Oryzias latipes: one gene and its partners. The protein of the gene in region 1 purifies or fractionates together with the protein of each later gene. This does not show direct contact. Links are inferred from orthologs where the notes say so. Each region holds a gene or a part of one and is shown on either strand. Other genes may lie near its edges. The genes, in order: psmc6, rad23b and psmd5.

What was found.
Region 2: the proteins of psmc6 (region 1) and rad23b fractionate together in Homo sapiens (co-fractionation; 4 studies listed by BioGRID and IntAct, with this or other methods). This does not show direct contact. The link is inferred for Oryzias latipes from reciprocal best matches to the Homo sapiens genes PSMC6 and RAD23B.
Region 3: the proteins of psmc6 (region 1) and psmd5 purify together in Homo sapiens (co-immunoprecipitation; 4 studies listed by BioGRID and IntAct, counting the BioPlex papers as one, with this or other methods). This does not show direct contact. The link is inferred for Oryzias latipes from reciprocal best matches to the Homo sapiens genes PSMC6 and PSMD5.

Annotation. Positions count from the first base shown.
Region 1 is NC_019882.2:10,564,353-10,568,315, reverse strand, and holds the start of psmc6 (26S proteasome regulatory subunit 10B), read left to right. Parts: upstream 1-1,163; 5' UTR 1,164-1,463; coding exon 1,464-1,548; intron 1,549-2,032; coding exon 2,033-2,112; intron 2,113-3,308; coding exon 3,309-3,348; intron 3,349-3,629; coding exon 3,630-3,682; intron 3,683-3,963. Other genes in the region: dehydrodolichyl diphosphate synthase complex subunit NUS1, read right to left, coding at 1-301. UniProt on the Homo sapiens protein: Component of the 26S proteasome, a multiprotein complex involved in the ATP-dependent degradation of ubiquitinated proteins.
Region 2 is NC_019870.2:9,293,654-9,297,299, reverse strand, and holds the end of rad23b (UV excision repair protein RAD23 homolog B), read right to left. Parts: intron 3,193-3,646; coding exon 2,993-3,192; intron 2,920-2,992; coding exon 2,870-2,919; intron 2,797-2,869; coding exon 2,669-2,796; intron 2,575-2,668; coding exon 2,442-2,574; intron 2,358-2,441; coding exon 2,230-2,357; intron 1,321-2,229; coding exon 1,114-1,320; intron 937-1,113; coding exon 823-936; 3' UTR 592-822; downstream 1-591. UniProt on the Homo sapiens protein: Multiubiquitin chain receptor involved in modulation of proteasomal degradation. Binds to polyubiquitin chains.
Region 3 is NC_019870.2:8,935,035-8,939,402, forward strand, and holds the start of psmd5 (26S proteasome non-ATPase regulatory subunit 5), read right to left. Parts: upstream 2,827-4,368; 5' UTR 2,812-2,826; coding exon 2,579-2,811; intron 471-2,578; coding exon 326-470; intron 230-325; coding exon 116-229; intron 29-115; coding exon 1-28. Other genes in the region: putative UDP-GlcNAc:betaGal beta-1,3-N-acetylglucosaminyltransferase LOC100288842, read left to right, coding at 3,632-4,368. UniProt on the Homo sapiens protein: Acts as a chaperone during the assembly of the 26S proteasome, specifically of the base subcomplex of the PA700/19S regulatory complex (RC).

The DNA of each region.
Region 1 (3,963 bases):
GCTCCTCCTCGGCTACCATCAACCCGACGTGCACCGGCAACTTCTCAAGAGCTTTGCCATCCGCCAGCCACTGCGCGCGGCGGCTGCCAGTGTCAGCGCGGCTCCCGCTCACGGGGCTCCGCTCCAGCTTCTTCTGAGAGTCCGTCGGCAGAGCCGCGGGCAGGAGGAGCGCCGCCGCCATCCGCTCCCACAAGCTACCGCCGCGGTTCCGCAGGCGGCCTCGAAGCCACGACATGAGGGCTCTCTTGACGCGAAGCAGAGCGAGCAGGAGCCGCCAAAGCAGGCCGTACAGCAGCGCCATGAGTGCAGCTCCTACTCTGGAGAAATCAGGGAGAAGATTGATTTGCGTGGCTCCGCCGCACTGGAGCGACTCTCAGCTCCCCGCTTTCACTACAGCTGCTGGTTCCACTTCAGCAAACGGTGCTCCACTCCTCGGCTGGTTCCGATAGGCCAACTGGTTCTGTGTGTTAGGTTGTTTCTGTTCGAATCACCTCAGCCCCGCCAATGTATCACCACCTCCACCATAACCCTGCCTGTCAACCTCCGAACTCTGACCTGCGGTGCTGCGTGATACACGGAGCTCTCTGATTGGTCGATACCACAGTGACGGAAACGAGGCCCGCCCAACAATTCAGGGTAGTGTCCCCAGTGGTCAGCGTGCGTATTGCAGGCAATGCTTATTTTTACATGCTTTATGTCTTGAATACTTTCTTTACATTCAAGTAGCAATTCTCAATTTATATCTAACACAGATCTGCTACTTATTTAATATATAAATGTATTAAATAAAATCAAAATGTATTGACTTTATTTCAACAAGGCAACTTTCCATTTGTGGGATAAATAAAGCGTTATTCTAAATTAAATACATTCATTAATTCATCTTCTTCCGTTTATTCCCTTTCGGGGTCATGGAGCTGCTGGAGCCTATCCCGGCCGCTTGTGGGCGAAGGCAGGGGACACCCTGGACAGGTCGCCAGTCTCTGTCACACAAGTAGAGAATCACACACCCACGCAGTCTCACATTCACTCCAATGGACACTTTAGATTAACCAATTAACCTATGAAGCATGTTTTTGGTCGGTAGAAGGAAGCCGGAGTCCCCAGAAAAAACCCACGCATGCACGTGGCGAACATGGAAACTCCACACAGAGAGGTCCCCCATTGATGTTCCGGTTCTTCAGGTCCCCCAGCCAGGACTTGAATCGGGGGCCTTCTTGCTATGAGGCAAGAGCGCCAACCACTGCCCCAATACATTTAAATAAAAATGCCTATTAACAGTAATGTGTTTTACCAAACATCGATTTTCCTTATGTTTATTTGACCTAATGGAAAAATTGACCATTTTAAAAAGAGAGAACGTGGTTATTGCACACATCTTACCGCTAGGCGGCAGTAGCGCGCCCAGCAGTTGCCGCTGATCCATAAAAGAAGTATCGCTCCCCCCTCATTCAGGCAGCGTCATGGCGGACACAAGAGAAAAAGCTTTGCAAGATTACAGAAAGAAACTTTTGGAGCATAAGGAGGTTGACGGACGGCTCAAAGAATGTGAGAACGTGTCTATATCAGTTTGGTGAAAAATAGACAGCAATTTAGCTTGAACTGTTTGCGTTTTCATTTCGATAATCGATAGCCGCGTCTCTCTGATGTTCCTGCTGTGTCATGTAGTTAGCATGTCAGTCTGTGGCCTCAGCCGGGTAAACACACCTTGAACCCAGTTTGCGACTGGATCCCATTTAAGTGGGACCCTTGTGGGTCTTACTAATATAGTCTACTTTGAATCTGGGATTGTTACACCCAAAATTGGACGTTTTTTTGGTGCTATGCTAGCTCCAGCAGCTAACATACAAAACTCAAGCTATGGAAATCTGCAGTGAGACCGCTCAGAGAGCAGAGTCACAGAAGAACCACACCGATTTCTTCTTTAATAAATTGACTACACGGTTACCAGCGGTTTTCAGCGTCTATTTCTGTTGTGTTTTTTAATTCTTTAAAATTGTAACGATAACAAAAACACTGTCCTTTGTGTTAGTGAGGGAGCAGCTCAGAGACCAAACAAAACAATATGAGAAGTCAGAGAACGACCTGAAGGCTTTGCAGAGTGTTGGCCAGGTAAGAACCCAACCTGTCACCGTTTTACAGCCATATATACCTGCTTCATTCTTGCTTATCCACAAAAGTTATAAGTAAAAAAAAAAAGAATAATGAAATCAGTCTTTTCTTTGAAAATGTAATTTTGAAAACTCAAATTCATGGTTAACTTTGTCATTATAGCCATATCCTGTAATGTGCTTTCCAAAAAAATAGTTTTAGTTACAGGTTGACTGTAATCATTAGCATTTATTTGAACCAGAACTTTACCCCTTTTTCTATGCAAGTCACAGATTAAATTGTGGAAATTGTTTTTTATTAACAGCTGAAATGTAAAAAAAGAAAGGTGAAGCAATATTAAATGAATGACTGGAAAAGCTGTGAAAATTAATAGAAAAACATTTGAAGCCAGAAATAACCCCCCCCCCCCCCCCCCCCCCCCCCCCCCCCCCGTGGTCCCTGAACTCACCGGTGAGTCTGCCAATCACATCAGCCGTTTACAATAATACAGGAATGATACAGACCCCCCCCCTCCTATCAGCATTGTTCCCATTCAAAATTTAACATGGTTTCAAAGAATTCTTAGCCATGAAATTGTTCTTTTAAAATAAACTTTATCACAAATCTTGATGATACCCCTTGAATAACCCCCCCCCCCCCCCCCCCAATACCTTTTCCTCATTGTTTGGACCTTGTCTTTGCTTTCTTTTTAGATTTATACATGTTTAATCTTTTTGTTATAAAACGTAAACCGGTTTGATCTCATGTTTTATAATCAAGAATCAAGGAAAATTGTACAACTTGGAATTGAGTTTTTTCTTTTTTTCTTTTATTTTGGGGGGGGGGGGTCGGGTTCATTGTGGAATTATGATATAATAAAATCAAAAATACAGCTAAGTAGAACCTAGGGTTGTACTTGCAAGATGGATATCAAGGATTGCCACAAAACGCATTCTTTGATATTAAGGTTAATTGGATCAATGACAAAAACTGTAGCATTCAGTTTCTGCCTCTAGAAATCATTACTAATTTCACATACGATCTATCTAGTATGCACATGCAATATTTTCAGTCACATGGAGTCTCATTGAAGGGACAATAGGAAATGCCAGGCTTACTGTACTACATTCAGGCATGTCAGGTAAACTGAAGTTTATTTAAGGCTGCGTATTGATTTTTTTTTTTTTTTTTTTTTGGTCTGTGACGTCTTCTTACAGATTGTTGGAGAGGTGCTGAAACAGCTCACAGAGGAAAAATGTAAGTTTATTGAATATTTGCTCCAAATAAGAGGGTATGAATACCTTAGGTTGGAGCTTTGTCAACCTGCTGAGATAAGATTTGTTTTCTTTGGCGTTCTCGCTTGTGTTCTGTTGACGACAGTTGTGTGAAACCTGAAGCTTTGTGTTCTTTACTTTGGGTTTCCGCATCACAGCAGACAAAAACAGACAAATGAAAACGTTTGTGCTTTCCCCCTGAGATCAGCTTCATCTAACGTTTGTATCTGTGACGTTTATTCCTTCCTCCTCTCTTTCTTCCAGTCATCGTGAAGGCCACCAACGGCCCACGCTATGTGGTTGGATGTCGCAGGCAGGTGGGGGCTGCTCCTGTTCCGACTCAGATCTATTTTCACCTGATGATTCTGCTGCAGATTCTAACGTCAGTCTGTTCCTGTTCCATTGAACTGTTCTGGTCATTTCAGTCCTTAAAGCTTTTTAGAACATTTTATTCCCATGTTGTTTTAAAGGTATCGTTTCGTCCTCCAAAGACGTTTGAATCATTGATTTCTGCTCACAGGCTCTGTTGTGTTTCACCTCACCTTAAACTCGCTTTTCTGATCCGCTTGAGCTGAAAAAGTCACCTTTTGATTTGTGC
Region 2 (3,646 bases), on another chromosome or scaffold:
TGGGTCTAGATGACCCAACTCCCAATGTTAAAGTGCCTAGGATAGCACAAGGGTTAAATAGAATTTAAACAAAATGAGACTATGGAGCCTTTAAAAAGGAATGTGAAAGGTATAAAAAAAAGTACTACTTTTTTTGTTTTACTTTTAAGTCCCTTTGGGGGCTCCGTAGCATACCATCTATTAAAATACATATTTGATCTTTAATCCTGGATAACCCCGAGAACAATTTTCTTCTTGGATTTTGATCTGAATATGGTTTGTTTTTAATCATCTGTGTTCCCTTTGGTTAGCAACAGTTAATCCCTTGATTCCTGAATTCATTTCTTGGCTATGAAAGACAATGTTTACCTATTTTACTGCATTCATGTAGATGCTAAATTAAGGTAATTTTGGAGTCAGAGTGGTTTGATGCATATTTGCAACATAAGTGTCCAGGTGTCAACAGCAGCCCAAAAAAGTAAAATAAATAAATAAATAAGGCCTTTAGGTTCTCCCGGATTACGATGAAGTGGATTTGGGGAAAAAAAAGATCCCAAAACAAAATCTTCAGGTTTCAACCCTTCTCGTGTGTGAAATGAACAGGAATGCAGATGAACTGGGACACCAGATCGAGCGTCTTTTAATCATTCATTCATTTGAAGATGCTAACAGAACATCCATCATCACATCTGATGGTGAGCGCGTCTCATCAGGAACACTGGATGTAGAAGTGCAGAGGAAAACACTTTTAGGAGCTAAAAGGCTTCTTTTTTTTTTTGCAAGTTTGTAGTGAACATCAGAGAGAAATTGAAGGAAGAAAAATATGAAAAAGAAAAGTTTGTTTTAATCGTCGTCAAAGTTCTGCTGTAGAAGGAAGTTGGCCGCCAAGTTCTCGTTCTTCTCGCATGCAAAGTAGGCCTGAATGACGAGTCCCTCAGGAAATCCCAGGGCTTTCAGCTGCAAAACCGAAACAGAAACAGAATTCTCCGCTTACCATCACTGCAGGAGAGTCGGGAAACATTTAAACCTGCGCTGAACCTTCAGCAAAAAAAGAAAAAAACTCCTGATATTTGGTGAGACTTATGATCTAAAGTGGGTCAACGTTACCAATCACAGAACTATTCTCCGCCTCACCCTCTCGATGGCCTCCTTCTCCTGCGGTGTGACCTGGATGTAGCTCATCTGACTTTCTCCGGAAGTGTCAGCTCCTGTGCCTCCAGCCCCCCTCGCTCCTCCTCCTCCACCACCACCGCCACCTCCTCCTCCTCCTCCTCCTGGCACTGGATCAGGATTTGGCTCATTCAGCATCTGGATAAACTGCTCCTGGTGGTTGCTGATCTCCTGCAGAAGCAAATGACAGACTCGAAGAATGGAGCATCAAAAATCCGATAGAGACTAAAAATGATTTGACATAATATGAGTTAAACAGTTCTGCTGCAGATTCTCATGGAAGCTTCACAATAAAAGCTTTAAAAACATTTTATTATGATTAGTCTGTGTTCATTCATACCACATCGCTGTCATTGAAGCCACTTTAAAGCAAGTCATGCGTTTTAAATAAAGTTTTTCTATGAAAAAAAACTGCCTTTTCTCATTTTGTTTATTCTATTTATTCCAGAGGGGTTTTTTTTAGCATCAGAGTGTGAGGATTGGAATGAATGTATATCTATCCACACATACATCTAACTTAGAATTATTAGTCATCAATTGATTGGAAAATAAAAGAATTAAAATGTAATAGATTTGTGCATGCAGATGAAGAAGGCATCAGCAGACGCTTTTTTCCCAGGATGAGGTCAGAGGCTGCTATGGCTTCAACTGGCCACCAGATGTCGCCATTTTTCGTTGCATTGAAACCTTAAAATCAGATTTCTGAGAAAAAAACAATTCCTGTTTTTTTGTTTTCTGATACACATTTTTATGTTTGTTCTTCTTAATGTTCTTGTTTTTCATCCTCTTCTTCTGTGGTTCTCCGTCTGGTGCGACGTTTTCATAGTATTTCCTTTAGCAACTATGTTAGTAATGCTAGCGAGTTGCTTCACTGAAAATGGGAACCAAGGGAGAATTCGACAAATTTACAGATGGTTTCCCTCCTAAAATAGCTTCTTTTTTTCTTTTCTTCACATTGTGTTTCTTTTCTTTGCTTTGTTTTTCTGTTTTTAAACTTAGCCAGATGTTCCTGAACATTCCTGTTCATGGAAGCCTGCTTTGTTGGATTTGTTGTTGGGCTGGTGGAGGTCTGCTCCTCACCTGCAGCAGCTCCGGGTTCTCTCTGCCGATCTCCTGCAGGAGCGCTGGGAGCAGCGCGGCGTTCTGCTGGATCAGCTGCCGCATGACGTGGAACTGAGGCTGGTTTCTGAGGAAGCCCAGAGGATTTCCTGATGGTCCAGAAAGTGGAAGCAAATATTGCTTTTATTAGGGCGTCAAAAGAAAGGAAAAAAAAAGAAATGTGGTTGTCGTACCCCCTCCTGCACTCGGTGAGGACTCGGTGCTGGTGGGAGCGGCGGTGCCCCCTGCAGGCGCAGCTGGAGATTCGCTCACTGCAGGCGTGGAATCGGGTCCGGTTCTGGAGCCTTGATCTTGACCCGGGATACCCTAGGGGTGACACCGACAATAACTCCACCTTTTCGTGTGGAAGACAGCACCCTGGCTTTGGATTGGCTGTGGGAGGGTTGGGGGCGTGTCTTACAGAGAGCAGGTACTCCACGGCTCTGTCGGGGTTGTTGTAGCTGGCCCTCAGAGCGGCCACCACCTGCTCCCTCTCATAGCCCATCAGCATCATCTCGTTCACCATGGTGTCGTAGGACGAACCCGTCACTGGGAAGACAAACCAACAGTTTAAACGGCCAGTTCACCTCTCAGCTCGCCGCCCACACCGCAGCAGGCTCACCCAGAGTGGAAACGGCTTCGCTGAGCAGGTCTGTCGAAGACTCTGAGCTCCTGAAAGAGGATCAAACAGCGGTGAGGTCGGATGCCTCAGAGCGAGAACCACAAACACGGAGGCGCCTTTTACCTGGCGGGAGGCGGCGGTGGCGGCGGCTCGGCTGTGGAAGACTCTTTCTCTTCCAGCTTGTCAGCAGGTGCTACTTCTGCAGGTTTGTCTGCAACAGATGGTGGGGTGGGGGCCGCTGCAGCAGCCGCAGAGCTGGGAGCCGATGAAGGAGCTGATGAAGAGGCTGACGAAGACTTTGGGCTGGGCGCAGCAGTTTTAGGCTACAAAATAAAAGCATGTTCCCCAAACTTTGTGAGGTAAAATGGTACTTTAAATGTTTGATGACTTTTTGAAACTCCTAAATTCGGGTTTGTTTTAATCAAAAACAGTTTAAAGATCATGTAACATTTGCTTTAGGAAGCAGCAACAAAACCCTTTTATCCCTTGACAAAGTTTCAAAATAAAACCAATCTGCATTCTTGCTTATTTTTGTCTGAATAATAATGAGAACTTAATGGTTTTTCATAAACTTGCTGTGCAGCCTCAAACATTTTATTGATATTAAATTTCTTCCCATCCTTTTTGCATTATTGTGTTTAGAATAAAGATTTAAACTTGTCTTTTGGCAGCTAAAATAAAGTTGTCGCCTTTTCTTTTTTTTTTGTAGCGGTGGGTGCTGCCCTCCCACATCCCCTCAGCAGCAAAGGAAAAAAACGGCTGCTCTGCATCGAGATT
Region 3 (4,368 bases), on another chromosome or scaffold:
AACTCAGTTTAGACAAAGATTTAATTGCCTAAAAGAGGGGGAAAAAAAGGCATTTAGTAAAACCCTGTTGACGAACCAAAACTCACTGAGGTCCTTTAAAAGGCTGAGTGCTGACCTGTTTTGCCACAGACATCTTTTCCTCTCCGATGCAGAGGATAACAGCTTTTAGAATGTCCTCGTTGTTGAGGATTTCTGTGGCGGCGTCTGGATGATCCACCATTCTGCCAATCTGACGAATTACCAAAAAACAAAACAAAAAAAGTGGTGTTTACTTATTATGGGAAGCTGTCTGCAATGTTTGGGTACAAACAGCTCATAAATATACCTGAGTTAAAGCCAGAATCTTCACGGTTTCATTTGGATGGGTCAAACCTCCCTGCAGCTCTGTCCTGTAGTTCTGGACCAGATAAAGAGGGCTGAGGGCCATCAGGATCCGGTCCAGAATCTCCACACAAAGCTCCACTTGCTGCCTATAAACACAAATCAAAAAGTGTGGCCGAAATTCAGAGGGCCTTGTCAAAGATCAACAGTCCACACTAAGTTCCTCTTTGTCCTTTACAGATCACAGCGAGAAAACAGGACAAAACTTTCAAATACTTTGCTGAGCAGCAGATGTCAATTCAAAGTTCTTTCAGGAAACAGCAAGCGCAATTCCACACACAGAAATGCTTTTATTGTAGAAAGTAACAAGTAGGCAAGGCTTTTTTAAAAGTCACATTGGACAGAAAATGGAAAACACATAAAACTAAAATTCAAGAAAAGCAAAACACAACAAACATCTTTATGACATGCTTAAGGATCAAAGAAAAAGTTTGTGCTAATTTTCACATAAATGCGTTTGACCTGCTGCTTTCAGTTTGTCCGTTTTCTATACTAGGCTTGTCTGACAGATGATAAAACAACCTGAGAGACAGATTGTACTGCTCCTACTGTAGTCCCTCCTCTTATTCCAGTTTTACCCCAACTCAATACAACCTCACTTCACTAAATAACAAACTTTCACATTTATTTTCCATCTTTTTGTTCAACTCAGGTGAATTAGGTTGAAAGCTAATTTTGAGTCACTGTTAGTCCTCACTTTTTGTCTTGTAGAACTCAAATAACAGTTAATTTATATATTATACTTAGTCTATCTTTCACACACCTAGGTGTGGGAAATTTGTTCTCCGCATTTGAGCCATCCCCTGGGGGAGCGGTGAGCTGCAGACACAGCCGCGCTCCGGAAACATTTGGTGGCTTAAACCCCCCAGTCAAACCCCTTAATGCTGAGTGTCAAGCAGGGAGGGATTGAGTCCCATTTTTAAAGTCTTTGGTAAGACTCGGCCCTTACAGGGCGGACACTTTAACCACAAGGCCACTGAGCTGGTAAATAACTGATACTGTATTTATCCCACAATGGGGAAATTCTTCTCCGCATTTGACCCATCCCCTGGGGGAGCGGTGGGCTGCAGTCGAACCGCGCCCGGGAGTCAGTAGCGTTAAGGGCCTTGCCCATTAAGGGTCTTGCCCAAGGCCCCTCACTGGGTGATGTGAATTGCTCGCCATTGATATGGTAATTGCCTGATTACCATTGTTCATTCCCCTCCGGGAATCGAACCCTGGATTCCTGCGTGGTAGTCTCTCACCTTACCAAACGAGCTACCCAGACTACCGCCACATTTATTTTTATCCACGATTTTTTTTTTTTTGGTCAAAGTTATCCTGAAATTATATGTAAACTCAAGTAAAAACTCAGGTAAACTCAAAAAGATTTCTCTTCTTGACAAAGAGGAAAAGTTGAAGTGACAGAGGAAACTAAGATAGTAATGGAAAAGAAAGAAGACAAAGATTATATATCCATTAAATTAACAATAAAGTTGTTGTTTTTTAAAACAAACAATAAAAACAAGGATTTTTTTGTGCTCAAACAATGCTTTTAAAGCATTTAATTTCATCTACAAAAAAAGGCAAACTTAAACATGAAGCCCGCTGGTATTGACATTATTTTTTCAGATAATCAAACATCAATTTGTAGATCATGCTGTGAGCGGAAATAATTGGGATGTTCCATTTCATTCTCTATCTTTAATTCTCACGTTGCTAACATCTTTATTTGAAAACAAGTTTAAAGTGAAGAAATAATTTTCTTTTATTTTGCAAATGTAGTGGGTGTCTCGTGCAGCTTATATCTGAGGAATTAAACAAAGAAAACGTACACTGCTTTAGATTTTTACGGCAGCAAAAGCTGTAGATAATTAGTTTACATCATAAAATAAACGGTATCAACCTCATTAAGTTTTTTTTTTCTTAAAAAAAACCTGGGAGATTTTTTATTTCCAAAAAAGGCTATTTTTAATGCTGTTTATTTTATTTGTAAAAAGAGAACAAAATAAAAGAGTATAGTAGTACAAAACTCTCTTTAGAAACATTTAGCCTAAGCATGCTAACTAGTAGCATACTGTAAAAATATATGTGTAGTTTACTTTTTTAATTTACAATTCACCACACAAACGCCAAAGCCTGCCGGACTGACTCAGCAGTTAGCTAGCAGCAGTTTTGGCAGTTTCTGTTAACATTGTAAACACAGGACCGAACCAACCTGTCATTGGAGCTGAGCAGAGAAAATATTACATCCAGACGTTGTCCGCTCACTGAGTCTCTCAATGCACTGACAGATATAGAAAGCAGCGCCGTTTTTAAGCTCTGTAACTCCTCAACTGGATCTTCTATTCTGGAGATTTCTTCCAGCAAACTTTGAATCAAAGCAGCCATGACTGGCAGAGACGTACCCGTCTCTCGAATATGCGTGCGCCTGCGCCTCTTCTTCGTCATGGTTAGTCGAAAAAGTCGACAAGAGTGTTAAGCCATTAGCGCCACCTGGTGGAGGGAGGACAACACAACAACCACTCAGATTTTAACACCATGTAATGTATTTTGATTTTTTATCAACAAAAAACCCTTGTACTTTATTTTACTTGAGGAATTTTGGTTTAATCTATTTGTATATTTGTAAATACCCCTTAAAATGAGCCATAATGTTTCAATTTTGGAGCTAAAACAATGCAGCGACGAACACTCGCAGTCTGTTTCAAGTACAAAACAATGTTTATATCGCAGTCTTCAATTTTTATTTCAGCTTCTAATCTCAGTCATTTTAAAGTTACCCCACATATAGAATGTCAATTAATCTTTAAAGAATTGTTCAATTACTTGAACATTTTTCATTCAAGCATTTGTAAGAGACAATGTTTCTTCATCCTCTGTGTGCATGATGCAGAAACTCAGGTAGGAGCTGTACTGCTGATGAGGTGTAGAGTTGCAAGCTTCTAGAGTTTCTATGACATGGAAAACCCTCTCTATCCTCTACTATTGTTTTCCAGCTCACCACAGTCTCACCTGTGTTACAGATTAACACTGAAGAAGCAAATAATGCGGGTAAGCATAAGAGTCTTCAGATGCTTAAAGCGTTTTCAGGAAATTGAATTTGAAGAACTGTTTCATTTCAAAATTTTAGATCTGTTTGTTCAAGCTGCGTACCCACCAGTGGTGTTTCCTGCTTTTCAACGTACTGCTCTTCCATGCCTTGCTGTTCGGGGCAGATTTTGTGGAGGAGTACCTCCTGCAGCCCACGCCAGGGGTTTACACTGATGCCATGGTTACTGGCGTGAGGGAGAAAGCAAGGAAATTGGACCTGAGCGATGCCAGGGAAAACATTTCCTTTGAGTACCCTATAACAAACGCTGAGGCTTGCAGAAACTCTGACCTCTTTCTTCTCGCTTTGGTCTTCAGCTCTGCAGGAAACATCTCCCAAAGAGACGCTGTGAGGAAGACATGGGCAAACCAAACCCTGATTGAAGGCTTTCCAGTGAAGACATTTTTTTTCTTAGCGCTGTCTGACACTTCTGCTGCGCATCAGGAGCTCCTAAGTGAATCTGAGCGTTATGGAGATGTAATCCAGGCTTATGCTGGAGCAGAGCGGTCCCTCCATGGCTCAAAGGAGAGGACCGTGCTGGCTCTCCGCTGGGTGATCTCCTTCTGTCCCCTGGCACGATTTGTTCTGCTGACCAAGGAATCTGTGTTTGTCAACCTTCCAGCTCTTGGCAGCTACCTGCTCAGACTACACAGACACCCAGAGGATCTGTACCTAGGCAGAGTGATTCAACAAGACCAACCTAACAGGGACCCTAAGAGTCCCGGGTACCTGCCCCCCGCTCTGTACCCTGCCAAATACCTGCCCGAATATTGCGATGACACCGCCTATGTGCTGTCCCAAGATGTAGTCCGGAAGGTGTATGTGGCATCTGCATTGGTCCTTGCGCCCGTGTCCGCTGATGTTTTTGTGGGTCTCTGTGCTCGGAAGGCTGGTGTCTCCCCAACCCACAGTGCTAG